2 linked regions of the Pelodiscus sinensis genome follow. The protein of the gene in region 1 binds, or shares a complex with, the protein of each later gene. Links are inferred from orthologs where the notes say so. Each region holds a gene or a part of one and is shown in the gene's direction. Other genes may lie near its edges. The genes, in order: SLC9A1 and calcineurin B homologous protein 2-like.

Region 1 (11,579 bases):
GCAAAAAATGAATGTGGAGCCTACATTCTACCTGGCAAAGATCCTATTTTCAGAGTCTAGGGAATTTGCAGCTACTTACTACTATTAGTGAGTGATCTAGATAAAGTCTGGCACCTTGTGAAGTTGGAAAGATTTGACCTAGTTACTTCCATAGAAGGATCACACCACCTTAGCCTCTGAGCATTATTTCTGGAAGAGATCCAGCCCTGGAGAGGTCCCTGAGCAAGTGTCTCTACTTCCCTGCATGTTCTTAGCAGAATTTTTTTGTTTTGCTGCTACATTAACCAATGGCAAAACTCGTCGGCTACGTCTAGACTGGCATGATTTTCCGGAAATGCTTTTAACGGAAAAGTTTTCTGTTAAAAGCATTTTCGGAAAAAGCACGTCTAGATTGGCAGGATGCTTTTCCAGAAAAGCACTTTTTGCAGAAAAGCGTCCGTGCCAATCTAGATGCGCTTTTCCGCAAAAAAGCCCCGATCGTCATTTTCACGATCGGGGCTTTTGTGCGGAAAAGAAATCTCTGCTGTCTATACTGGCCTTTTTCAGGAACAGTTTTCCGGAAAAAGACTTTTTCCCGAACGGGAGCAGCATAGTTTTTCCGGAAAAGCACTGATGATTTTACATTAGATCGTCAATGCTTTTCCGGAAATTCAAGCGGCCAGTGTAGACAGCTGGCAAGTTATTCCGGAAAAGCGGTTTATTTTCCGGAATAACTGGTCAGTGTAGACACAGCCTTATGGTTAATAGTTCAGGCATAGGCCCCTACTCAGGAGCATGTGACAAAGTCCTTCCTATAGGTAAATATAAAGCCCAGGACTTTCTTGCTGATGAATTTGCTTGTCTAGAATGTATTCAAGCAGAAGTAAGATGTTAGCACATCTGGTTGTTCCTGTTCAGACTCGTGATTCATTTGAACAGTTCTCCTCTTTCTAGTCATAGATTAGTCAGGTTTATTCTTTGTTGGTTCTCTTGAGTAACTCAAGACCGTTAGTCCTCCCACTCTGGAGTAAGGATCTGTTGAGCAACGTATTCTTCAGTGATACTCAGTTCCTCCTTGCCCAGTGTTCATCTCTCCTCTTGTCTTCAGTCTCAACAGCAGCACATTATGCTGGGAGGAAATTTAAAACAAAGACGATTCAGGTAAAATCCAAGGTCCTCAATCTGCTATGCATGGGTCTCTGGTTTGCTTCAGTGGGAGTGTTGCAATCTGAGGATTTGCTTTATTCCCAGAGTATGTGAGTGCCTTTAAGCTTAGTATCTAAGGTGCCACAGGACTACTCATTGCTTTTAAAGTTACAGACTAACCCAGGTACCCCCTAAGACTTTTTACCGTGCAAGGGACTTCATTTAGCCGTTTGAATTGGAAATCCATCAACTTTATAGAGAAATGTGGACAGATACAAACAAAAATCATATTCCTCTACAAGTGCAAAGTAATGAACATCATACCCAATGGACTGAAAGAGAAAAATCCATTATCATCCACATACTACATGGACTACAGTGAGAGATTATGCCACACACTCAAAGAAACTGAAGAACCACCCAATCAGCATCCTATACAACAAACAGGAGAAAATCAAAATGTGGCAGTGTTTCAAAGTGGCAGTGCCGCATGGAGCCCGGGGACAGTGCCCAGCTGATCCCAGGCTCCACGTGATGCTGCTGCTTTGAAATGCCATGAGGAGCCTGGTGCTGGGCTCCCCGTCGCATTTAAGGTGGCAGCACTGCACAGAGCAGCTGACCCTGGGCTCCGTGTAGCGCTGCTGCTTTGGAGTATCCCCGCTTCTCCCCCCCTTGCTGCCTCGATCTGATAGAGGCAGCAAGGTGTGGGGGAAGCGACTATACGCTGCCCCCAACTTGCGATGCGATTGGTTCCGGGAATAGCGTTGCAAGTTGGGGGTGTTGTAACTCGAGCCCACATTTACGAAAGGTGTCATACGCCATCGTAATTGCGGGGCCAAGGATGTAAATCGTGGGATTTTGGCCCCTTCCACACTTACAGAAAAGGTCATAAGTGCGGGGGATCGTAAATCAGGCCGTCATAAAGCGGGGGTCTCCTGTAGTCGACTATCCTGTCAACTATCTGATAAGCATTTTCTTATCTAGAGACTTTCATAAAAAAAACAAGTTTCCACACAAACTTCCATGTGGCTGGACTTTACAAAAACTAGACAAGCCACTTACAATGCTCATTCCACTTCCCTACAGAAGAAAAAGGCCAATAAACTATCTAAATTCCTACACGCCACAGGGTACTACTACTCCGGTACCCTCAACTCACCTAACATTGTTAATCCATCCAACCACACACTGAGCCGGGCAGAAGAGTCTGTGGTATCTTGGGGACTCTCTGCCTCACCACCCCCACAAACATGATACAGTTCTGCAGTGACCTGGAAGCCTATTTTCGCTGACTCTGACTAGGGATGCTAAATTTCAATTAATTAACTGATTGAATAGTCGATGGGATTTCCATTGACTTTTCGTCGATAAGGGTGCCTCCGTCTTTCAACGGTAGCAAGAACCCTGCTGGGGCTCTTGTGCAGTTCAAAAGCAGAATTGCAGCAGAACCAGTGTGAGTGGAGATTACTTCATTCCCCACTCACACTGTTTCCTGCTGTGCCTCTACCTCCCCTGTTCCCTGCGGAGACAGTGCTGGGGGAAACCAGCTTTTAAGCCGGCTCCCCCCAGCACCGGCTCCTGCTCCCTTCCCTCACTGCCTCTCTCTGACAGAGGCAGCAAGGAGGGGAAGCAACTAGTCACATCACTAGTTGACTATCCGGTAAGCTTACACTTATGGGATAGTCAACTAGTCACTTACATCCCTACCTCTGACTGAAGGAATATTTCCAACACATCACTGAACATTGCATTGACCCACAGGATCCCTTCTACGAACCCTACATGAAGATTTCTACATGGAAGATGGTTGAAATGACATTCTGGACTTCTACACTGATTGCTGCCACAAACGTGCACAGCATTGTGAACAAACAACATCACATGACACACAACGTCAGCTATGCTGGACGCAATGCTCTCCGTGGCCTCAAAAATAACTCTGACATTATAATCAAGGAGGCTGACGGGGGCGGTGGGGAAGAGGGGACTGTAGTCATCATGACAAAGTCAGATTTCAAACAGGAGGTTGCCAGACAACTTGCCCACACCACATTCTACGGGCTTCTTTCTTTTGATCCCTCTGAGGAATCTCAAAAGAAACTATACCATCTGCTCAAGAAACTCCCTGCTACTGCTCAGGACCAAATCTACACAAACACCCTCCCAGAGCCCCAACCAGGGGTATTTTCTCTACTTCCCAAGATCCATAAACCTGGAAATCCCGGATGTACCATCATCTCAGGCATTGGCACCATTACTGCAGGATTATCCAGCTATGTTGACTCTCTCCTCAGACTCTATGCTACCAGCACTCCTAGCTATCTTCGAGACACCACTGACTGTCTGAGGAAACGACAGAGCATCAGTAATCTTCCTGAAAATATTATCCTGGCCCCCATCAATGTAGAAGCTCTTTACACCAACATTTCACATGAGGGTGGGCTACAAACGGTCAGGAACATGATCCTCGATGATGCCACAGCACACCTGGCAGCTGAGCTATGTGGCTTTGTCCTCACCCACAACTATTTCCGATTTGGGGACAATTTATACCTTCAAGTCAGTGGCACTGCTAAGGGTACACACAATATGCCAACATCTTTATGGCTGGCCTAGAACAACATTTCCTCAGCTAGCACCCTTCCTCTACTTACACTACATTGATGGTATCTTCATCATATGGACCCACAGGAAGGAGACACTTGAAGGGATTTCAACAATTTCCACCCCACTATTGACTTCAGCCTGGACCAGTCCTCACAAGAGATCCACTTCCTTGACACTACAGTACACATAAATGCTGGTCACATAAACCTCTGCTGGAAACCTACTGACTATTGTTCTTACCTACATGCTTCTAGCTTCCATCCAGGTCATATCACACGATCAGTTGTCTACAGCCAAGCCCTAAAATACAACCAGATTTGCTCTAAATCCCACAGAGACAAACATCTATATGATCTTTATCGAGCATTCTTAAAGCTTAAATATCCACCCGGGGAAGTGAGGAAACAGATTGACAGAGCCAGACAAGTACCTGGAAGTCACCTACTTCAGACCCAATAAGGAAATTAACAGAACATCTCTGGTCATCACCTACAGCCCCCAGTTTAAACCCCTCCAGTGCACGAATGGCAATCTAAGGATGTTAAATTGCACTTACTGACTAGTCGAGTAGTTGATGGAATTTCCATTGACTATTTGATTAGTCAATAGGCACTTCTGCATTCCTCCTTGGAAATGTACAAGAGCCCCTACTGACTCTGGGCTGCACATGACGTGCCAGCTTTGAAATGCACAAGAGTCCCCAGCGGGGTTCTTGTGCATTTCAAAGCTGCACAGCATGGAGCTTGCTCACCCTGGGCTCCATGCTGTGCTGCCGATTTGAAATGCGGTACGAAGCCCGAGTTCAGCTCCGTGGCATTTCAGTGGAACCTGGGCATTTCAGTGGAACCTGGGATTTCAGTGGAACCTGGGATCAGCTGGGGAGTCCCCAGCTCCACAGTGCCACCTTGAAACGCCGCCTTGGCATTTCAAAGGGGCAATGCCACACAGCTGAGCCTGGGCTCAGCTGCACACGGCTGCCCCTTTGAAGAAACCCTTTCTTCCTCCTTTGCTGCCTCTATCTGATAGAGGCAGCAAGGTGGGGAAGTGACTAGTCTACTCAACTATTCAATAAGCTTTTGCTTATTGGATAGTTGACTAGCCTGTCACATCCTTCTGACAATCTACAACCTATCTTGGGAAAATAATCCCTTGCTCTCTCAGATCTTGGGAGACAAGGTAATCCTCTCCTACAGACAATCTCCTGCTACCTGAAGCAAATACTTACGAGCAGTCACACACCACACCTCAGATACATTCACCCAGGAGCCTACCCCGCAACAAACCCCACTGCCAACTCTGTCCACATATCTATACAAGGAACATCATCACAACACCTAACCATATCACGGCTCATACAACTGCACATCCATAAATATGATGTATGTCATCAAGGACCAGCCATGCCCGTCTGCCATGTATATTGGCCAAACCAGACAGTCTCTGCGACAAAGGATAAATGGACACAAATAAGACATCAGGAATGTAGGGGAACATTATAAGCCTGGACATTCAATCATGGATTTACAAGTAGCCGTTCTTCTACAAAGGAATTGTACCACCCATTTGCAGAGAGAGTCTGCTGAACTGGAATTCATTTACAAATCTGACATTGTCAACCTGGCTTGAATAAAGATCTTAATTGGTTAATGCACTATAAAGCCAGTTTCCCCTGCCTTTGATATTTGCATTTTCACATCTAAAGCTATGAATGGGCCACATTTAGTCTACTTAATTAGCTTCATTAACACAGGCCCTACAATTGACAGGTAACTACTTTTGCTGTTATTATCTTGTATTCTGTTATTTCCACTCCAAGTCATCTGATGAAGTGGGTTTTACCCACAAAAGCTCATGATCCTATATATTTTTGTTAGTCTCTAAGGGTATGTCTACACTACCCCCCTAGTTCGAACTAGGGGGGTAATGTATGCATACCGAACTTGCTAATGAAGCCCGGGATTTGAATTTCCCGGGCTTCATTAGCATAAAGCCAGCGCCGCCATTTTTAAAAGCCGGCTAGTGCGAACCCCGTGCCGCGCGGCTACACGCGGCACGGACTAGATAGTGGAACGAGGCGTACAGATAGTTCGGATTAGGAAGCCTAATCCGAACTATCTAGTCCGTGCCGCGTGTAGCCGCGCGGCACGGGGTTCGCACTAGCCGGCTTTTAAAAATGGCGGCGCCGGCTTTATGCTAATGAAGCCCGGGAAATTCAAATCCCGGGCTTCATTAGCAAGTTCGGTATGCATACATTACCCCCCTAGTTCAAACTAGGGGGGTAGTGTAGACATACCCTAAGTTGCCACAGGACTAGTCATTGTTTTTAAAAATTATAATGTTTATCCTACCACCCCCTCGTGAAGGATGGACATATTCTCCCCATTTTACATTTAGCAAATAAATGTGTGTATTTTGCCACTAAAACAATACAAAAGAGTGGAGTAAGCTCAATGGCAGAGCCAGGAATAAAGTTCACATCAGCTGACTCATGTTACTCCCATGGTTTTATTTTACAGGGCAATATTTCTGGTACTCTTTGACGGGAATTTACAACCAAGAACCAGATTTGTAAATGTATTTAGGTGCCTAAATATACAGATAAGCACCAAGTGGGAGTTTACAAAAGGACCTAAGCATCTAACTCCAATGGGAGTCAGGTGCTTTTGTAAATCCTTGTAGGATTTACAAAAGCACCTGAGTCTTTAAGCGCCTAAATACATCTTTTTAAAAATCTGGTCCCAAGAAGCTGTGTAGGTCTTAAAGTTTGGCCATGTCTGTATTGGCTGCATTTTTGGTAGTAAATCTCTCTTCTACCGGTACACATGCATAAAAACTAAATTAAAACAGAGTCTATATTCCCTGGGTTGGCTTTGCTTTCACAACGTCCAGGGTTCCTGGGTGTGCTTTGCTGCATGAATTGCCTGGCCGAGTTTATTTTATGTACATGCTGGAACTTGACTTCCAGGGAGCTTGCGCTGCGCAAACAAGTTGTTTGAATGAGACCTGGTCTAAGCTCCTGTCTGTTTTATGTTATCTGTCTGTCTCTCTAGCGGAGCGCTCCTAACCGCGGCTCCCCTCCCTCCTCCGGCTCCATTAATGACCCTACAGCAGTTTTCCTAAGAGTTGGATTTTGTCCCACGGCCCTTTGCTACAAACTCCTCCCCTCTCGCACTGCTGCTCAGGGGCTGCTACCACCTACTCCTCAGAGAGGTGGCCGCGTTCCGCACAGAGGGGGGCGCTCTCCCGCACCGAACGCTGCGCCTCCCGGCCCGTCCCTTGCGAGCGGGGCCGGGCCGGCAAAAGCGGCCCGGGGAGCGCGCGCGCACTGGATGCGGGAGGGGCCCCAAGAAACCTGCGCGCCACGTGGGTCGGGTTAGGGCCGGGCCAGCCGCGGGCCCGGCTGCGGGACCCTGTGCAGTGCTGCTCCCGGCCGGTGGGTGCTGCTGTGGCTGCGGTGGAGCCTCGGCCGCTGCCTGCCTCTCCCCGCGCCCTTGGCTCGGCGGCTATAAGGCTGGGAGCCGGCCGGGCAGGGGGCTCAGTGAGCGCGGCTGGAAGAGCAGAGCTGCGCGGCGGCGCTCCCTGGCACCCTCCGCGGAGCGGGACGAGCCCCCCTGCCCGCAGCAGCGGGGAGCCCCGGGGCGGGCCGCCAGCCCTCCCCTGCCGGAGGGAGGAACCTGGGCGAGCCCTTCCCCAGCCAAGGGGAACCGGCTTTTCCGGGCTGCACCCTGCGTGTCTGCAGCGGGGCGGCTCCAGCTGTCTCCTCCCCCCGCCAGTCCTTTGCTTCTGCACCTTCCCTCGATTGGCCGGGGGCTGCTGCTGCACCTTGGGGCCCCCGCCCTGCCCGCGCCGGGGCGGCTGCTGCTGCGCCCTCTCGCCGCTTTCCTGAGCCTGGCGGGGAGGGTGCCGTGCCCGTGGTTCCGCAGGGTTCTCGCTTTCCTGCCCGCCGGCTCGGTTCTGGTCTTATGGGCTCTTTTTTAAAATCCTCGCCTGGGGGGGAAGCGAGCGCTGCATGCGTGTGGCCCGGTCCCCTCCTCCCTTCCCGTCCCCTCTGCAGCGGCGCCTTTGCGCTGCCCATGACGCGCTGTGGAACAGGCTGCCTCTGAGCTAGCGGGGCCCGGGAAAGATGCAGGCGAGGCGCGGCCGCCGTGTCCCTTCCCTCCGCGCTTTGCCCTTCCTGTTCATTGTGGCAGCTCTCCTGGGTCTGCTGCCCTTGCTTCACAGCCATGGCTTGCAGCACATGCTGACCTCCGAGCCGCCCTACCGCGACCCCGCAGTCCTCAGTGCAATTGAGCCCGGGGATGTCACCGCAGCTCCTCCGGACGTCTCCCAAGAGATTCGCCCGCTGACCAACCACTCCAGCCCTGGGCACTCCAAGCCGCGGAAAGCCTTCCCGGTCCTGGGCATTGACTACACCCATGTGCGGATCCCCTTTGAGATCTCCCTTTGGATACTGCTGGCATGCCTCATGAAACTGGGTACGTTGGCACCACTTTTCTGCATGCCGGGTGGGGGCATGGGGCAGTGCCCAAACTTGCAGGTTTAGGAGTTGGGAGGTCTGGGCTCTCTTCCTGATGAGTATCCCATAAGAGTGGACAGATTGTAGGTCCATCTTGACCACCATAGTGCCTTCCAGCAATGGTCAATGCCAGGTGGCCCAGAGAGGATAAACAGAACTGGTACTCATCAAGCGGTGCATCTCCTGTTGCCCATTGCCTGCTTCTGCCAAACAGGCTAGGGACACTCTGTGATCTTGGGGAAGTTACTCAACCTTTCTGGTCTGTAAAATGTAAACACACTTCGCACTTATAAGATTTGTTGGTAAAGCTCTCAGAGATCCTTGGATGAAATATGCTATCAAAGTGGCTTCTGTTGACTGTTCTGTTATAAAGAAATTCATATGACTCTTTTAACAATCATTTGTTCCCTATTATTGCTGATCCTCCCTAAAGAGGAAGGATAGCCCAAGGGTTAGGGCTCTGCCCTGTGACCAGGGAAATTTCTATTCAATTTCTTGACCTACCTGAGAGCTTAAGCAAGCCCCACTTAGTAGCTCTGTGCCTCAGTTTCCCATCTGAACCACATTCCTCTTTCTCAACCATGTTGTAGGATAAATATATTAAGGATTGTGAGGTGTTCAGTACTCGGAATGTTTGGGTGCCTGAGTATCTAGATCCCCTGGAGAGATGACTAACTACCCTGAACGGCTCTGGTGTACTGAGTTTCTGACAGCAGATTTCTTAGGACTTCTTTAGCAGGGTTGATACCTGTTGAATTCTCCGAGAATGTGATGTGAGCACGCAGGGCCCTATCCCATGTCAAAACTGGCTTTGGTGTCACGCAGGGGCCAAACTGGCCACTGGGCAGCTGGTGATGCTTGCTTATACTGTATTATGTGGTAATGCCTAAAGCGCAGATGAAGCATTTGCCTGTTCCTGTTTTGGGATGGTTATGTGAGAGAGGGGGAAGAGATCTGCATTTCCTTTATTCCCTTCCTGATTTTCACCATTAATTATTTTACACTTAACACTGCTACAGGTTCTCGGGAACTCTGTAATGCGCTGACTCTTATGCCAGGCTCCTAGTTAGCCTCTGAGTGCTGACAGAGAGAGTGGTGCTTGCCCTGGGAAACCTCATGATTGGCTCTGACTGTTGTCTAATGTTCTAAAGGTTCTGGTGTAACCGACCGCAAGGCCTTGACTGGTGTAGGAATGTTAAATATCGGTTAATTGAATAGTCGCGTAACCTCATGAATTCTTATCCGTTACTTGACTATTCTGTAGTCCCTCGGGGTGGGGCCAGCAGCCGAGGAATCTCCTTCAACTCCATGCTGCTGCCTTTGTATCAGAGACATCAGCGCAGGGTGCCAGGTGGGAGCTGGTCTGTGAGGGGAGCCAGTTTAAAAACCCGCTCCCTTCATGGACTGGCTGCCTGTCGCCCCGCACGACTGCCTCTGATACAGAGACAGCAGCGCAGGGTGGTAGTAACCCCTGTCGGGGTGGAGGGGTCTGAGCTTCCGGACTTGGCGCAAGCCAGAACAGAGCTGAGTTGCCTGGCCACCTGGCTCCTAACGTACATTAAATGCAGAGCCGCAACAGGCATAGGTCCCAGACCAGTCGAAAGCCAGGACCGAACCAGGCTAATTACTGGCAAGGTGTGGGGAAGGGAAATGTGTGTGGTCTATAGCATTAACCAAGCTTTTGCTTATTGGTTAATCGACTACACTGTTACATCCCTAGACTGGTAATTCAATGTAAACTGCTGATCATGGCCTGAGATTATAGAAATGTCTTTCCCCCAGAAAACTTGGGTCTAGATGGGAGTGTGTGTGTAGATATGAACGTTCTTTAAGACTCTTCTGTAGGCCTCTCAATCTCTTATTTGAAACTAGGAATATAAGTGTTAACATTTAGGCCCAGAAGGCTTCCTTGTGTGTGTCTGTGTAAGATCTAGTGGTAAGAGCTGGTGTTGAGAATTGGAACTCCTGGGTTTTGTCTTTCCCTCTCACTCCGACATTTTCTGGGAAAGTCTTTTCAGGTGACCTTAAATATCCTTAGAAGAAGGTGCCAGACTAATGAGCAACACTGTTGCTTTTCACTTCATAGCCCAGTCCCCCCTCAGCTGGCCCTTAGTCCATATATTAAGTAACTAGAGTAATGGAGTCCAGTTTTTGGGCTGCATTTATCATCTTCCTTAACTCTGTTGGGTGGAGAAATCAGAAACCTCTATGCAGCTGCTGGTAGAAGGGGGTGCTGGTGGTGGTTCTGGCCTTTAGCCTCACAGAACCTGACTTTAATCCAGAGTCACAAATGGCATGCCAGTCACAAAGTGCGCCTGGAGAAACTGGTGTGAAAAGCGCCATGACATGCGGCAGAAATTCCCTGTAAGGAAATGCAACGTGCTGAAGGTGGGAAATGGGGTTAGCGCATTTCTAATTTCCAGTAGGTTTGCTGATTGCCTTCTTTTGTGAGCATCTTCATTTATCAGAGTGATCTACAGTGTCTAGGCAGAGGCTGCAGCACAAAGCAGCTTCTGCTATAGACGTAAAATCCCCTGTAAAATGTTAACTGGCTAAACTATATATTTATCTGGTTAGCTGGCCCACTTTGTCATGCCATGGGTCGGGGGGGGGGGCACTGGAGCAGCCCCCGCCCATGGTGCAGTTAGGCTGGAGTACCGTGGGCAGGGGCTGCTCAGGACAGGCGCCGGTGAACTGGTTACCAGTAAGCCTCACCCAGCATCGTTTTCCTTGTGATATCTTTGTGTGGTGGTTTAATCTGTCCCAAAACAACATTGCAAGCGACGCAGTGTCCTACGTGCTTGGGCTAACGGCCCAATCTTGAGGCACCTGATTCCTTGGAATCTCAGGCACGTGCATAGTGGCTGACCTTGGAGCACTCTTCTGGTGACGTGCTTCAAGGAGCCGCTATCTGGCAAACTTCAGTTACCTGACGGCCTGTGAGAATGTAACCAGCTCTGGAAGTGAGCTCTAGTGTGGAAGTGAGCGCTAGTGTAACACAACCGCACTGGTGGCCAGGATCTCCACCAGCCACGTAGATGGGAATTATTGCTGGCTCGCCAAGTCCTAGCACCTGAAGTTAGGACTGAGGCTGACTTATCTACAGTATATTTGAGAGAGTTTGTCCAACTGTTTGTTCGAGAACTCCTCCCTAAACAAGAGCAAGGACCACTAAATTCCGTATCCAGCTTCCTCGTATCATAACTTAAGGCAAGGTCAGGGTTTGATTGTACCAGGAACATGGGACATTCCCAGAATGGGATTGCGTCTCCTAAAACCATACAGAAAAGAGACAGAATCACCTGGCAGATGAAAGAGGCTGGCTGGGGGG
Region 2 (12,000 bases), on another chromosome or scaffold:
CGCCCCCGGCTCCCCACAGACGTGTCACAGCAGGCTCGGGAAGCCGGGCCGCGGGGCAAGGGAGAGACGCTGCTTCCTTCCGCCTGCGAGACCCTCACATCTCAGAACACCTGCCACATGGGGGGGGGGGCTGGGAGCTAGGACGCCCAGGTTCTCTCTGCAGCTCTGGGAGAGGAGAGGGGACTAGTGGTTAGAGCGGGAGGGGGAGGGGGCTGGGTGCCTGGATTCCTATGTTCTCTCTGCAGCTCTGGGAGAGGAGTGGGGACTAGTGGTTAGAGCGGGGGGGGAGCTGGGTGCCTGGACTCCTATGTTCTCTCTGCAGCTCTGGGAGAGGGGTGGGGACTAGTGGTTAGAGCAGGGGGCTGGGAGCCAGGACTCCTGGGTTCTCTCTGCAGCTCTGGGAGAGGAGAGGGGACTAGTGGTTAGAGCGGGGGGGTTGGGCGCCTGGACTCCTATGTTCTCTCTGCAGCTCTGGGAGAGGAGAGGGGACTAGTGGTTAGAGCAGGGGGCTGGGAGCCAGGACTCCTGGGTTCTCTCTGCAGCTCTGGGAGAGGAGTGGGGACTAGTGGTTAGAGCGGGGGAGGGGTTGGGCGCCTGGACTCCTATGTTCTCTCTGCAGCTCTGGGATTGGAGAGGGGACTAGTGGTTAGAGCAGGGGGCTGGGAGCCAGGACTCCTGGGTTCTCTCTGCAGCTCTGGGAGAGGAGAGGGGACTAGTGGTTAGAGCAGGGGGCTGGGAGCCAGGACTCCTATGTTCTCTCTGCAGCTCTGGGAGAGGAGAGGGGACTAGTGGTTAGAGCAGGGGGCTGGGAGCCAGGACTCCTATGTTCTCTCTGCAGCTCTGGGATTGGAGAGGGGACTAGAGGTTAGAGCAGGGGGCTGGGAGCCAGGACTCCTGGGTTCTCTCTGCAGCTCTGGGATTGGAGAGGGGACTAGAGGTTAGAGCAGGGGGCTGGGAGCCAGGACTCCTGGGTTCTCTCTGCAGCTCTGGGATTGGAGAGGGGACTAGAGGTTAGAGCAGGGGGCTGGGAGCCAGGACTCCTGGGTTCTCTCTGCAGCTCTGGGATTGGAGAGGGGACTAGTGGTTAGAGCAGGGGGCTGGGAGCCAGGACTCCTGGGTTCTCTCTGCAGCTCTGGGATTGGAGAGGGGACTAGAGGTTAGAGCAGGGGGCTGGGAGCCAGGACTCCTGGGTTCTCTCTGCAGCTCTGGGATTGGAGAGGGGACTAGAGGTTAGAGCAGGGGGCTGGGAGCCAGGACTCCTGGGTTCTCTCTGCAGCTCTGGGATTGGAGAGGGGACTAGAGGTTAGAGCAGGGGGCTGGGAGCCAGGACTCCTGGGTTCTCTCTGCAGCTCTGGGATTGGAGAGGGGACTAGTGGTTAGAGCAGGGGGCTGGGAGCCAGGACTCCTGGGTTCTCTCTGCAGCTCTGGGATTGGAGAGGGGACTAGAGGTTAGAGCAGGGGGCTGGGAGCCAGGACTCCTGGGTTCTCTCTGCAGCTCTGGCAGCCATACAAGGGTCCCATGGTTGGAGCGGGGGTGGGGTTAAGGCTTTTTAAAATGGAATAACCCACCAACCCTAACCCGGCTCAGAGTCAAGGGCAGGGAGGGAGACGGACGGGGGGGGGGGGCTTGACCTGCCCAGCAAGGTGCTTCCCCAAGTCCCCTGCCCATGTCCTGCCTTCACCTGCTGGGATCCTGCATGCAGAGAAACCATGGCCTGAGAACAGGACTGTTCCTCTGACCTGGGGGGCGGGGGGTGGGGTGAGTCTGCCGGGTATGGGGGGCTGGTTCATCAGGTGATTGCAGGGCTGGGGTCTCCCCCACCCCAGCCGTGGGCAAGTCCCTGAGCTCCAGGTAGCCTTTGCAGCTATGGGTTAGGGGCAGAGGGGGTAGAAATCGTTCCTGGCTGGGGGGGCAGACGCGCGGACACCCGGGCACTATGTGCACCTCGTGAAGGGGGGGCATGGGGCTAGTGGTTAGAGCAGGGGAGGCTGGGGCTCCCAGCTTTGGGAGGGGAGTAGGTGGTAGTGGTTAGAGCAGGGGAGGCTGGGGCTCCCAGCTTTGGGAGGGGAGTAGGGGGTAGTGGTTAGAGCAGGAGCCGTGCCTGAGCCCGATGTGTTCTGCCCAGCGCTGGGGCTGGGGCTGGTGATGCCCAAATTCCCCTGGTCCCTTCCTTGAAGCGCCGTGTAGCTTGATTGCCCCGAGCCTCTTGTTTAGGTTTCCTACCCCCCGGGAGCCAAGTGTCCTCACCTCCCTGACCCCAAACAAGCCAGTGTTAATGGGGAAGCCGTGGGGAAGCAGCAGCTGTGAGGGGCACAGAGTTTTGGCCCCCTGGGCAGCGCTTTACAGCCAGCAGCTGTCAACACACGGCTAGGCCGCTTCCCCCCAGCGGGCCCAGGGTCAGCTCCGCACAGGGTCACGGCGGGAGGGAGGGGGACCGGGCCTCACTTGGGGACAGCTGTGCTCTGAGGGGCGGGGGCCGAGGCAGGACGCCTGGGTTCCAATCCAGCTTGGGGGGCGGGGAGTCTAGTGGTTAGAGCCACGGGGGCTCAGGACTCCTAGGTTCTAGTCCCGGGTCTGGAGGAGGAGAGCGAGTGTGTGTGTTCAACACACCTCTCTGCTGCTTGGCCTCAGCACTATTCCACTGTGTGTCCTAGACCCCACACAGCACTACGTGAGAGCCGGCAGTGTCCGGCCTCGGAGGAGGAAGTGGCTGAGTTCTGCTGCCGTGAGTGGGGGTTATGGGCAGGGGGGAGGGAGTCCGCCCCGGGCACCGCGCCAGGTGTGAGGGACCAAAACAAGCCGCTCGAGGCACCGAGACGCGTAAACTTCCTGGCCGCCCGGCTGCTGAGCAAAACAGGATGCAGGCGGGAGCAACACCGGCCCGTGGGGAGAGATGGGCGCCCCCTTGCTGCCTACCACTGCCCTCGCCGGGGCTCTGCAAGTCGACGGGGCAGCACGTGGGCAGAGCTGGCTACGGGCAGCCATTCGCTGTGATGCCCGGTGAGAAGAGGCAGGGGAGGACGAGTATTAAATAGCAAAAGGGACATTGTAAAGGTGGAATTACAGGGGCGTAGGATCACTCAGGCCCTTGCAGCCTGGACACACAGAGCCATAGTAAACACCCTCCCCACGACCTTAACTCTGCCCTTGGGCCCAGTGGGGCCCTGCTACTGAACGCAGCTGCCTGCGCTGACCGGCACAGGGACCACGTGCTCTCAGCCTGGCGCTTCTCAGCCCCTGCCAGGACTGAGGGGCCGTTTGGGCCCCCTTTGCATGCCTGAGTCATGCGCATGAGCAGCTGGTCAGTCTCGGGCCCAATGCAGCCGGGTCTGGAGGACTAGAACCCACCCCACCCGCCCGGACAGCTGGGAGCAGCCCGCTACACCCGGGGGCCCCGAGCGGCAGGGCCCAGGCCCAAAAGGCAGCCCCACCCCACGGCTGCAGGAAGCTGTCGGCACCACCTGGCCTGTTGTTGCCACGGCCCTGGCTTCGGGCTCAGGGGCTGTTCCCGTCTTGTGCCCTGGCCAGAGACCTGACCCCTGCTCTCTGGTTTCAGCTCTGACCTCAGACCCGACGCCTGTTCCTACCCACTAGGCCACGCTACTCACCCCTAACAGTGACATTTTCCCACCTGCCCTTGTGCCAGTCCTGACATTACCACCTAGACTTGGTGGGGCGGGTTTCCTGGGCCGCCAGTCCGTCACCGGCCACCTCATGCCCCGGGGGTCGGCGTGGCCAGCACCACCAGGCAAGAGGAGGAGGTGGGCAGACCCCCCAGAGGGTCGGGTTGTCTTCAGCCCCCCCATCCCCGACCTGGAGCCTAGGGTCGGGTTGCCAGGCTCTGCTATAGATTCCCTGCCCAAGGAGCTGGCATCCCAGGGGGCACTTGGCTGCTGGGCTGCCCCAGCCCCGGGCAGCAGAGCCAGGGCCGGGGCCTGGGAGTAGCAGGACGTTAGCTGCTGGATGCAGATTGGGGGTTTTTATGACCCTCCTGTCGTGCAGTTTCACACTGGGGAAAGTGACTAGCTTGCTGTGTCTGTAGAGGGGGATCCCTTGGGTGTCCCCAAAGTGGGCATGGCTGCGGGGGACCCGCCACCCCAATCTTGCAACCCCCCCAATGGCTCAGCTCCGCCCCCTGCTGGCCAGCCATCGCTCAGGGCGCAAGGGGCTTGCAAGAGCTCCCTGTTCTGTTCTGCGTCTGCTTCCCCCTGGCTCCGCGTAGCAACCTGTCCAGGCGCCCAGCATCCCTCCGGGATGGGGACAGACATACGGACATAGAACAGTGCTAGGGTCCCTGGGGGGCGGGGAGTCTAGTGGTTAGAGCAGGGATGGCTCCTGGATTCTGTCTCCAGGTCTGGAGCAGGAGAGTGGGATCTAGTGGTTAGAGCGGGAGTGGAGCTGAGAGTCAGGACTCTGGGCTGGGAAGCTCAACCCTCCCAATACCCCTGCCCCACAGCCACCTTAGGAAGCAGGGGGAGAAGGAGGGGGAGGGGGGCATTGGGTCTCCATGGCCCACAGTCAGTTCTCTTAGGGGGGGGGTCACTGCCCGTCCAGGCCAGTGGTGACAACTGGCCGTGTGCAGGGGCAGCTGAGACCTGCCCAGCTCGTCGCATGCATGGCCCGTCCGCCACCCATCGACCAACCAGCCGCGTCCCAGCCTCTCTGCAGGTCCCCTGCTTCCGCCCTCCCCCACTCCTGCCATCCCCTCCCCCCAACCGGCACCCTCTGAGCTTGGCTTTGCGGAGCCAGAGAAACCCCTTCATCCCTGGCCTCACCCCTCAGCCCCCTCCCGGGTGAGCAAATGAGCGCCTGTGCCTTTAAGACACCCTCCCGCCCCACCCCCAGCAAAGTTAATCAGCTGATGGGGCTATTAAAAGCAGGTGCAAAGGGGCATCTCCTGGAGAGGCGAGGTGGGGGGAGGGGAGGTCTTGGTCTTAGTTTAAAGGGGCGGGTCAGTGGGCTCCCAGGGTTCTGTATCCTGGACTGTAAGGGGTCCTTTTGAGCACCCCCCCTTGCAGAGCTGGACACCCTGCCTGGCTCTCTGCACCCCTGGGAGTGGGGGGGGGTCTCCCTATTGCCCACGGAGACTCATCCTGCTTCCCTGCCTGACCCGCTGGCCAGGGCGATGGGGGTGGGCCTGCCAGGGCGATGGGGGTGGGCCCGCCAGGGCGATGGGAGTGGGCCCAAGGCCGAGCTGGGTGGAAGGGGCTCTGTGTCTCCCGCCTGCGTCCTGCTGATGCCCTTGGGCATGTCTGTGCCCGGCTTCCCCTCTGGAGCCTTGGTGTCAGCATGTCGCAGAAACTGGGGGGGCCAGAGGAGTGAGACACGGGCCCTTCCCCTCTAGGAGATACTGGATCCGGTCTGGCCCCACAGAAGGCGAGGGGCTGGCTCCAGAGGGTCAGGAATGGGATCCAGGGCTCCCCCCGGCCAGGGGTGCCAGTGCTGCTCTAGCCCCACACGGCAGGCTGGCGGCTGACGCGATGGGGGGCAGGGAATGGGTTATGGGGCCTCTCCCCCTCCGTGGGCTGGAGGAGGCAGTGACTGTGGGCTCAGGCCCCAGAGCTGGGCCCTAGATCCTGAGATGGGGACTGTCTGGGTCAGGCCAGGGCCAGCTGGGGGTCAGACACCAGACACCTGAGCCTCCCCTAAATCCACGTGACTCCTGCAATCCGGCAGCACCCTCTGGTGGCAGATGGCTGGGACGGCCGCTCTGAGTGCCTTGGTGGTGATTTTGGGGGGTGACCCGACCCTCGGGCTGGGCACCTGGGGCGGGGGTGGGGACAGAGCTGGGGGGAGGGACTGCAGTAAGAAAAGGGAAACTGAGGCTCCACCGCTTCCTGCCGTTGTATCAATATTGATCTGGCCCTCCTTAAATTCCTGCTTTTTCTTGGATTCTGCTTCCTTATCACCCTTCACCTGCCATAAAATGTGACTCAGCATGGGAGCTTGGCTGTCAAACAGCAGCTGTGCCGCACCCCAGAGACAGCTGCAGCTCAGCTCAGGGTGAAGATCTCTGTACAAACAACCGCCCTGCCCTGCCCTAGGGGCATCTACATTTCCACGTGAGGCCAAGGAGCCAGGCCAGGAATGTATAAAAAGCCACCCTGTTTCACTCCAGCGGTGGCTTCATTTCAGCCCTGTGTGATGTGATCCCTTTATAATGCGTTGCTGCTGTGCCCTGCCCCAGAGGTGGGCGCATCTCACCCTGGGTGAGGGATCCCCGTGTAAACAGCCGTCGTGCCCTAACCCAGAGGTGGCTGCACTTCAGGGCTAGGCCGGAGGGCCCAGTATAAACAGTCACGCCCTGCCCCAGTGCGGACAATCAGCCGGTGTGGAAAGGCCTTGGCGTGGGAAATGCTCAGCTCCCCACCCCCCCCCCAACCTGGACACTTTAAAAACAAACAAAGGAGCCACTTCCCTGTTTCCCTATGATTGCCTGGGCGGAGAGAAGGAAAATCCACCTTAAAGGAACCAGCCCAGCTAGTCCAAGGCCCTCCTTTGCCAGGGGTTGATTGGCTGTCCCACCAGTCACTCCAGCTCCCATGTGGGCTGCCAGGAAAAGTTGGATCCAGGGAAAGTTGGCTGGTCCCTGCCCTCGCTCAGTGGGGGGATCCCGGCGAGGCCTGACGGCATGAGAGATGGGCTCTCAGAGCTCCCACCCATCCGCGATCCCCAATCTGGAGCAGATCATGCAGGAGACGGGCTGTAAGGGACCTGCGGGGTGGGGAGGGGGTCGGGCAACCCTAAAGTTGGCAAAGGCAGGAACAAAGGGGGTGGCGGTTGCCCTGGTGCCCCGAGGCTGCAGGCCAGGTGGGGCAGGGCCCCTGCGCTGGACAGGGCTGGGCGGCCTGGTAGCACTGGCCCCAAGGACCTGCCCTGCATGCGGTGGCCTCTGTTTGAAGGGGAGAAGAAATTGTGTGTGTGGTGCTGCCAAAGCACAGGGAGCCCAGACTCCTGGGTTCCCCCCAAACTGGGGGGAGGGAGGGAGGGCTGGGGGGAGTGGCCTCGCACAGGGAGGGTGGGCGCCAGGACTCCTGGGTTCCCCCCAAACTTGGGGGAGGGAGGCAGGGCTGGGGGGAGTGGCCTTGCACAGGGAGGGTGGGCGCCAGGACTCCTGGGTTCCCCCCAAACTGGGGGGAGGCAGGGCTGGGGGGAGTGGCCTCGCGCAGGGAGGGTGGGCGCCAGGACTCCTGGGTTCCCCCCAAACGGGGGAGGCAGGGCTGGGGGGAGTCGGCTAGCGCAGGGAGGCTGGGAGCCAGGACTCTGGCTGCAGAAAGGGTGGGGTTTTGTGATCCCAACAGCGATTGTGGAGTCAGCCAGGGCTCCTGCGTGGCTCTGCTATTGGCCAGCTGTGCAGCCCCACAGCAAGTCACCCAGTAAAAAAAAAAGGGGCCTCAGTTTCCCCCGCCTGGCCTGGCCCCTGGGGACCGTGGCCTGGGTGCTCTGTTGGTGGGTGGAGAGGAGGGGCTGACCAAGCAGACAGGTTCGCTCCCCAGACTGTTCAGGCCCATCCAGTCCCTGGTCCCTAGGGGGCAGGGAATCGCCACCCCGCAGGGTGCTCCGGCCGTTTGCCCCACGACAGCTGGGAGAAGCACCTAATGCCAGATCCACACACCCAGGGAGGCCCCTGGTGGAGAACCCTCAGAGCCCAGGGGTGGGAGCTGGCCCCACAGCGGGACGGAGGAGCCGCCTCCGGGGCCCTGCGACGTACGGGGGGGGGGGGGTGAAGCCTTGAACAGGTGTCCCAGCCAGGCGCTGCAGCAGCCCTGGGGTGTGGCTGGTTCCCGCTCTGGGTGGTCTAGGCTGGGGTTCGAATCCAGCCCGGCTCGTGGGGCGTGAAAGCCGACTTGAGGGGCAGCGCTCGCGCTAGGAGCCTAGTGTGACAGGTGCCTGTGGCTGGGCTAATAGGTCCCCCAGCTGTAGGGGGGCGGAGCCAGAACTCCTGGGCTCTGTCTTCCACTCTGGAAGAAGAGTCTAATGGTTAGAGCAGGACTCCTGGGTTCTACCCCTGGATCAGGGAGGGGAAGGGGATCTCTTGGGTAGAGCTGGGAATTGGGACCCCTGGGTTCTCGTCCCAGCTCTGGTGGAGACTGGGGTCTAGTGGTCAGAGCAAGGGGGGAGTCAGGACTCGTGAGTGCTCTGCCACTGATGGGCGGTGTGTCGCCTTGGGCGAATCACTTCCCAGCCTCGTGCCTCAGTTTCCCCATCTGTGAACGAGCCAAGCCCCTACCCTGTATATAGCGGGGGAGGGGCTTTCAATGGGCCGGCTCTTCCTCGCACTAGGAACCCTGGATCCCCTGCTGTGATTTAAATCTCCTTAAATGTGAACCAGAGGGGGGGAAGGGGGAGGGGTTTAGTCATCGATACCCTAAACGTTCAGCCCCGGGGGCCCTTGCCAGACCTGGGGGAATCGGCGCTCCCGGCTACAGCTCTCGCTCTCGTGTCCAGTTTCGCAGGCCAGCGTCACCCGCCTCTACGCCCGCTTCCAGGCGCTGGACAAGGCGCAGAAAGGCTCCCTCAGGTAGGGGAGCAGGCGTCGGCCGTCCCGGCCTTTGTGGCTGCTTTGACATTCGATCATTTGGGCAGCACCTAGGCCCTGGGTGGGTGGGGCGCCGGGCTACGTCTCTGATGGGCCTGGTGGAACAGACTGGCCCCCACCAGACACAGGGTCAGGTCTGGAGAGCCAGGAGAAGTGATTAGCGGGGGCAGGGAGGGGGGGTGGCGGCTGAAGTGCAGCCGAGATCAGCCACAGCCGGAGAGAAACCCCTGATCCAAGGAGACAGACAAAAGGGTGGGCAGGGAAACTGAGGCACGGGGTGGGGCCCAAGGTCAGAGCCTGGAATAGAACCCCTCACCTCTCCTTGAGCTGCTGCCCCCCAGCAGAGCTCAATCTCTTCTTGCTGCCTCCTGTCCCCCCATTCCCCTGTTTGAGCCCCTCAAGAAGGGGGCTTGGGCCCAGTGGCTCTCTAGGGGCCTGGCTCTCTACTCCCAGGGACCTGCAGGAGGGATGCGCTGGGGAGCTGCAGGCGACAGGCCAGACCCTGGTGCCAACCTGGAGTAATGCCAGGAGTGAGTTGCGGGTGCCCAGGGTCGGGGGCCCATCCCCATGGCCTCGGGTCACTAAGGACCCGCCTCGCTGGTCTGGGGCTGTCTCCCCGGCCATGAAAGGGAAAAGGCGCCGGGTGCGGCTGCTCTCCGCAGGTGTGTGAACCTTGGCACGAGTGCCCAGCGGTGCTCAGCCATGGCGCCCGCCGGGCCCCACGGCGCCCACAGGCTGCACCCAGCGGGACCCTGGAGCACCCGGCCCTGCCCCTTATCGCAGCCCAGCTGGAGTCAACGAACAACCCTCAGACCCTGGTGTCCCTCCTATGGGACGGCTGCCGTGCCCCTGCTCCCGGGATGACTGCGTCTCCCCACTGGGAGAGGGATCCCAGGATTTGCCACCACCTGGCCTCACGCCCGAGGGGGCTGCATCTCAACACTGGAAGGATGCTGCTCCCCAGAGCTGGCTGCATCCCAGCATCAGGTGCAGGATCCTGGTAGAGCTACCGTGCCCCACCCCAGAGGCAGCGTCCACCAGTCTTGGGCCCCTTACGAGTGTCAGCTGGGGCGTGCCACGACCTTTGCCCTGTCTCCCTACAGCAAATACGACCTGCAGGGGATCGGGGCGCTGGCGGTGAACCCCCTGGGGGACCGGATCATCAACGCCTTCTTCAGGGAGGGGTGAGTCGGCGCCACGAGCATCACCCCCCCCCCCCAGACCAAGCAACGGCGGGGGCAGGGAGAGGATGCAGGCTGCAGGGCGTGTCACGCGCCACTGGGGGGCGCCGGCGTTCACAGGCCCCGGAGCACGGCAGGGAACCCGGCAGAGCCTGGATGGTGCAGGGACTGGGCAGAGCAGAACTCCGCAGCGCTGAGTGCACAGTCCTTTGCTTTTTGCTGTAGGGATCCCCCTGTACCAGGCCTTGTGCCCCACCCCAGAGGCTGCTGCATCTCAGCACCAGGCAAGGGCTCCGTGTGCACAAGCCTAGTGCCCCACCCCAGAGGCAGTTGCATCTCAGCACCAGACAAGGGCTCCATGTGTGCACAAGCCTAGTGCCCCACCCCAGAGGCAGTCGCATCTCAGCACCAGACAAGGGCTCCATGTGTGCACAAGCCTAGTGCCCCACCCCAGAGGCAATTGCATCTCAGCACCAGACAAGGGCTCCATGTGTGCACAAGCCTAGTGCCCCACCCCAGAGGCAGTCGCATCTCAGCACCACACAAGGGGTCCATGTGTGCACAAGCCTAGTGCCCCACCCCAGAGGCAGTTGCATCTCAGCACCAGACAAGGGGTCCATGTGTGCACAAGCCTAGTGCCCCACCCCAGAGGCAGTCGCATCTCATCACCAGACAAGGGTTCCCAGTATAAATAATCCCCACGCCCCACCTGAGAGGCGGCTGCTTCTCCCTGGATAATTAACCCCCCGCGCCCTGCCCAAAGGCAGCAGCAGCTCAGCGCTGGGCCCTGCGTTCCCAGCTGTGCTCGGCTGCACCTACCATCAGTTATTAGTGGCGTCTCCCGCTGCAGGGAGGAGTTCACCGATTTCCGAGCCTTCATGCGGGTGCTGGCCCGTTTCCGGCCCGTGGAGGAAGGAAAGTCCAAGGAGACTGGTTACCCGGAGCCCATGAACAGCCGACTCAGCAAGCTGCAGTGTGAGTAACAGGGCAGGCAGGGGGATCCCCGACCCCACTGCTGAGGCAAGTGACCGGGGCCCCTTGGTGACAAGGGGACGAGGCGCCAGATGTGGCATAATGGGGAGGGGAAGGCACCCCTGGCAGCTGGCCAGAGCTCATGTGGGGTGAGGGAAGGGCATGTGAGCAGGGTGTTGGGTGTGGAGAAGTGCGGGGGGCAGTGTGGTGGGGGCACCCAAGGAGCTAACCGACCTGGAGGAATGCAGAGACATGTGGAGGGATGCTGCGGTGGGCACGTGGGGGAATGCTTGGGGTGGAGACAGACGGATCCAGGCAACATATGTAGGGGGGACATGGGAACATGCAGGCTGTAAGGGGCTGCAGGAGGAGGCTGGGGCTGGTGGCAGGTTCATTTCCCTGCTCTGATCCCAGCGCTGACACCAATCCTGGTCGTACAGTTGCTTTTCAGCTCTATGACCAAGATAGTGATGGGAAGATCTCCCGGGCCGAGATGCTGCAGGTACTGTGTGTGCGAGGGGCTGGGGAGCGTGCGGGGCTGGGGGGAGCATGTACACGAGGCTGGAGAGCAAGTGTGCAAGGGGGACGTGTGAGGCTGGTGCTGCCCCCGCCTCCTCCCAAGGGCCCCGGGAGACGGACTCTCTCCTCCCCTCCCTCAGGGGCAGCCTGGGAAGGGGCGGGGCCATCACTGACTCCTCCCCTCCAGGTGCTGCGGCTGATGGTCGGCATCCAGGTGACAGACGAGCAGCTGGCGTGCATTGCCGACCGCACCATCCAGGAGGCCGACCAGGACGGTGACGGCGCCATCTCCTTCGAGGAGTTTGCCACGGTCTGGTGGGGTCAGGGGAGCAGGGTGTAGACTGGGGAGGGTTAGCGGGGGGGTTGATCATCTAGAGGGGAGGGGTGAGGCATATTGGAAGGGTGGGGAGGGTGAAGGATGGATTATTAGGTGCATTACAGTAGCCCTTGGGGCTACAACCAATCAGGGCCCCATCGTGATGGGTGCTACATGGATGCACACACATAGTGAGACACAAAGAGCTCACGGTCTAGTGAGACCATGGAAGGACCATTATCCCAGTTGTACAGGAAGGGAAACCGAGGCACGGGGAATTGAGTCCCAGCTCTGAGCCTTAACCATGTAGCCAGCCCCCCAGGGCCCTCGGTGGTGGTCCTGGGTGGCAGAGCGTTTTGGCCCAGGCCTGTCCGCGTGTCCGACACCCTCGTCTCCCCGCAGTCCGTGGAGAAGCTGAACATCGAGCAGAGAATGAGCCTCCGGATGCTGAAATGACCCGTCCGGCTCCGAT

The links.
Region 2: the proteins of SLC9A1 (region 1) and calcineurin B homologous protein 2-like are in contact, whole or in part, in a crystal structure (PDB 2BEC), measured with the Homo sapiens proteins. The link is inferred for Pelodiscus sinensis from reciprocal best matches to the Homo sapiens genes SLC9A1 and CHP2. Residues at the interface, in NP_003038.2 of Homo sapiens: Ser517, Ile518, Asn519, Glu520, Ile522, His523, Thr524, Gln525, Phe526, Leu527, Asp528, His529, Leu530, Leu531, Thr532, Gly533, Ile534, Glu535, Asp536, Ile537, Cys538, Gly539, His540; in NP_071380.1 of Homo sapiens: Arg30, Arg34, Leu38, Leu51, Ile54, Ala56, Leu57, Asn60, Pro61, Leu62, Ile66, Phe70, Phe83, Leu87, Phe90, Tyr118, Ala119, Leu122, Tyr123, Met136, Val139, Leu140, Met143, Ile156, Arg159, Thr160, Glu163, Ala164, Phe177, Ser180.

What each region holds. Positions count from the first base shown.
Region 1 is NC_134735.1:11,969,161-11,980,739, reverse strand, and holds the start of SLC9A1 (sodium/hydrogen exchanger 1), read left to right. Parts: upstream 1-7,103; 5' UTR 7,104-7,855; coding exon 7,856-8,207; intron 8,208-11,579. UniProt on the Homo sapiens protein: Electroneutral Na(+) /H(+) antiporter that extrudes Na(+) in exchange for external protons driven by the inward sodium ion chemical gradient, protecting cells from acidification that occurs from metabolism.
Region 2 is NW_027465849.1:4,866,814-4,878,813, forward strand, and holds the start of calcineurin B homologous protein 2-like, read left to right. Parts: upstream 1-6,526; 5' UTR 6,527-6,639; coding exon 6,640-6,706; intron 6,707-8,449; coding exon 8,450-8,522; intron 8,523-9,643; coding exon 9,644-9,724; intron 9,725-10,571; coding exon 10,572-10,696; intron 10,697-11,133; coding exon 11,134-11,195; intron 11,196-11,399; coding exon 11,400-11,522; intron 11,523-11,930; coding exon 11,931-11,984; 3' UTR 11,985-12,000. UniProt on the Homo sapiens protein: Functions as an integral cofactor in cell pH regulation by controlling plasma membrane-type Na(+)/H(+) exchange activity.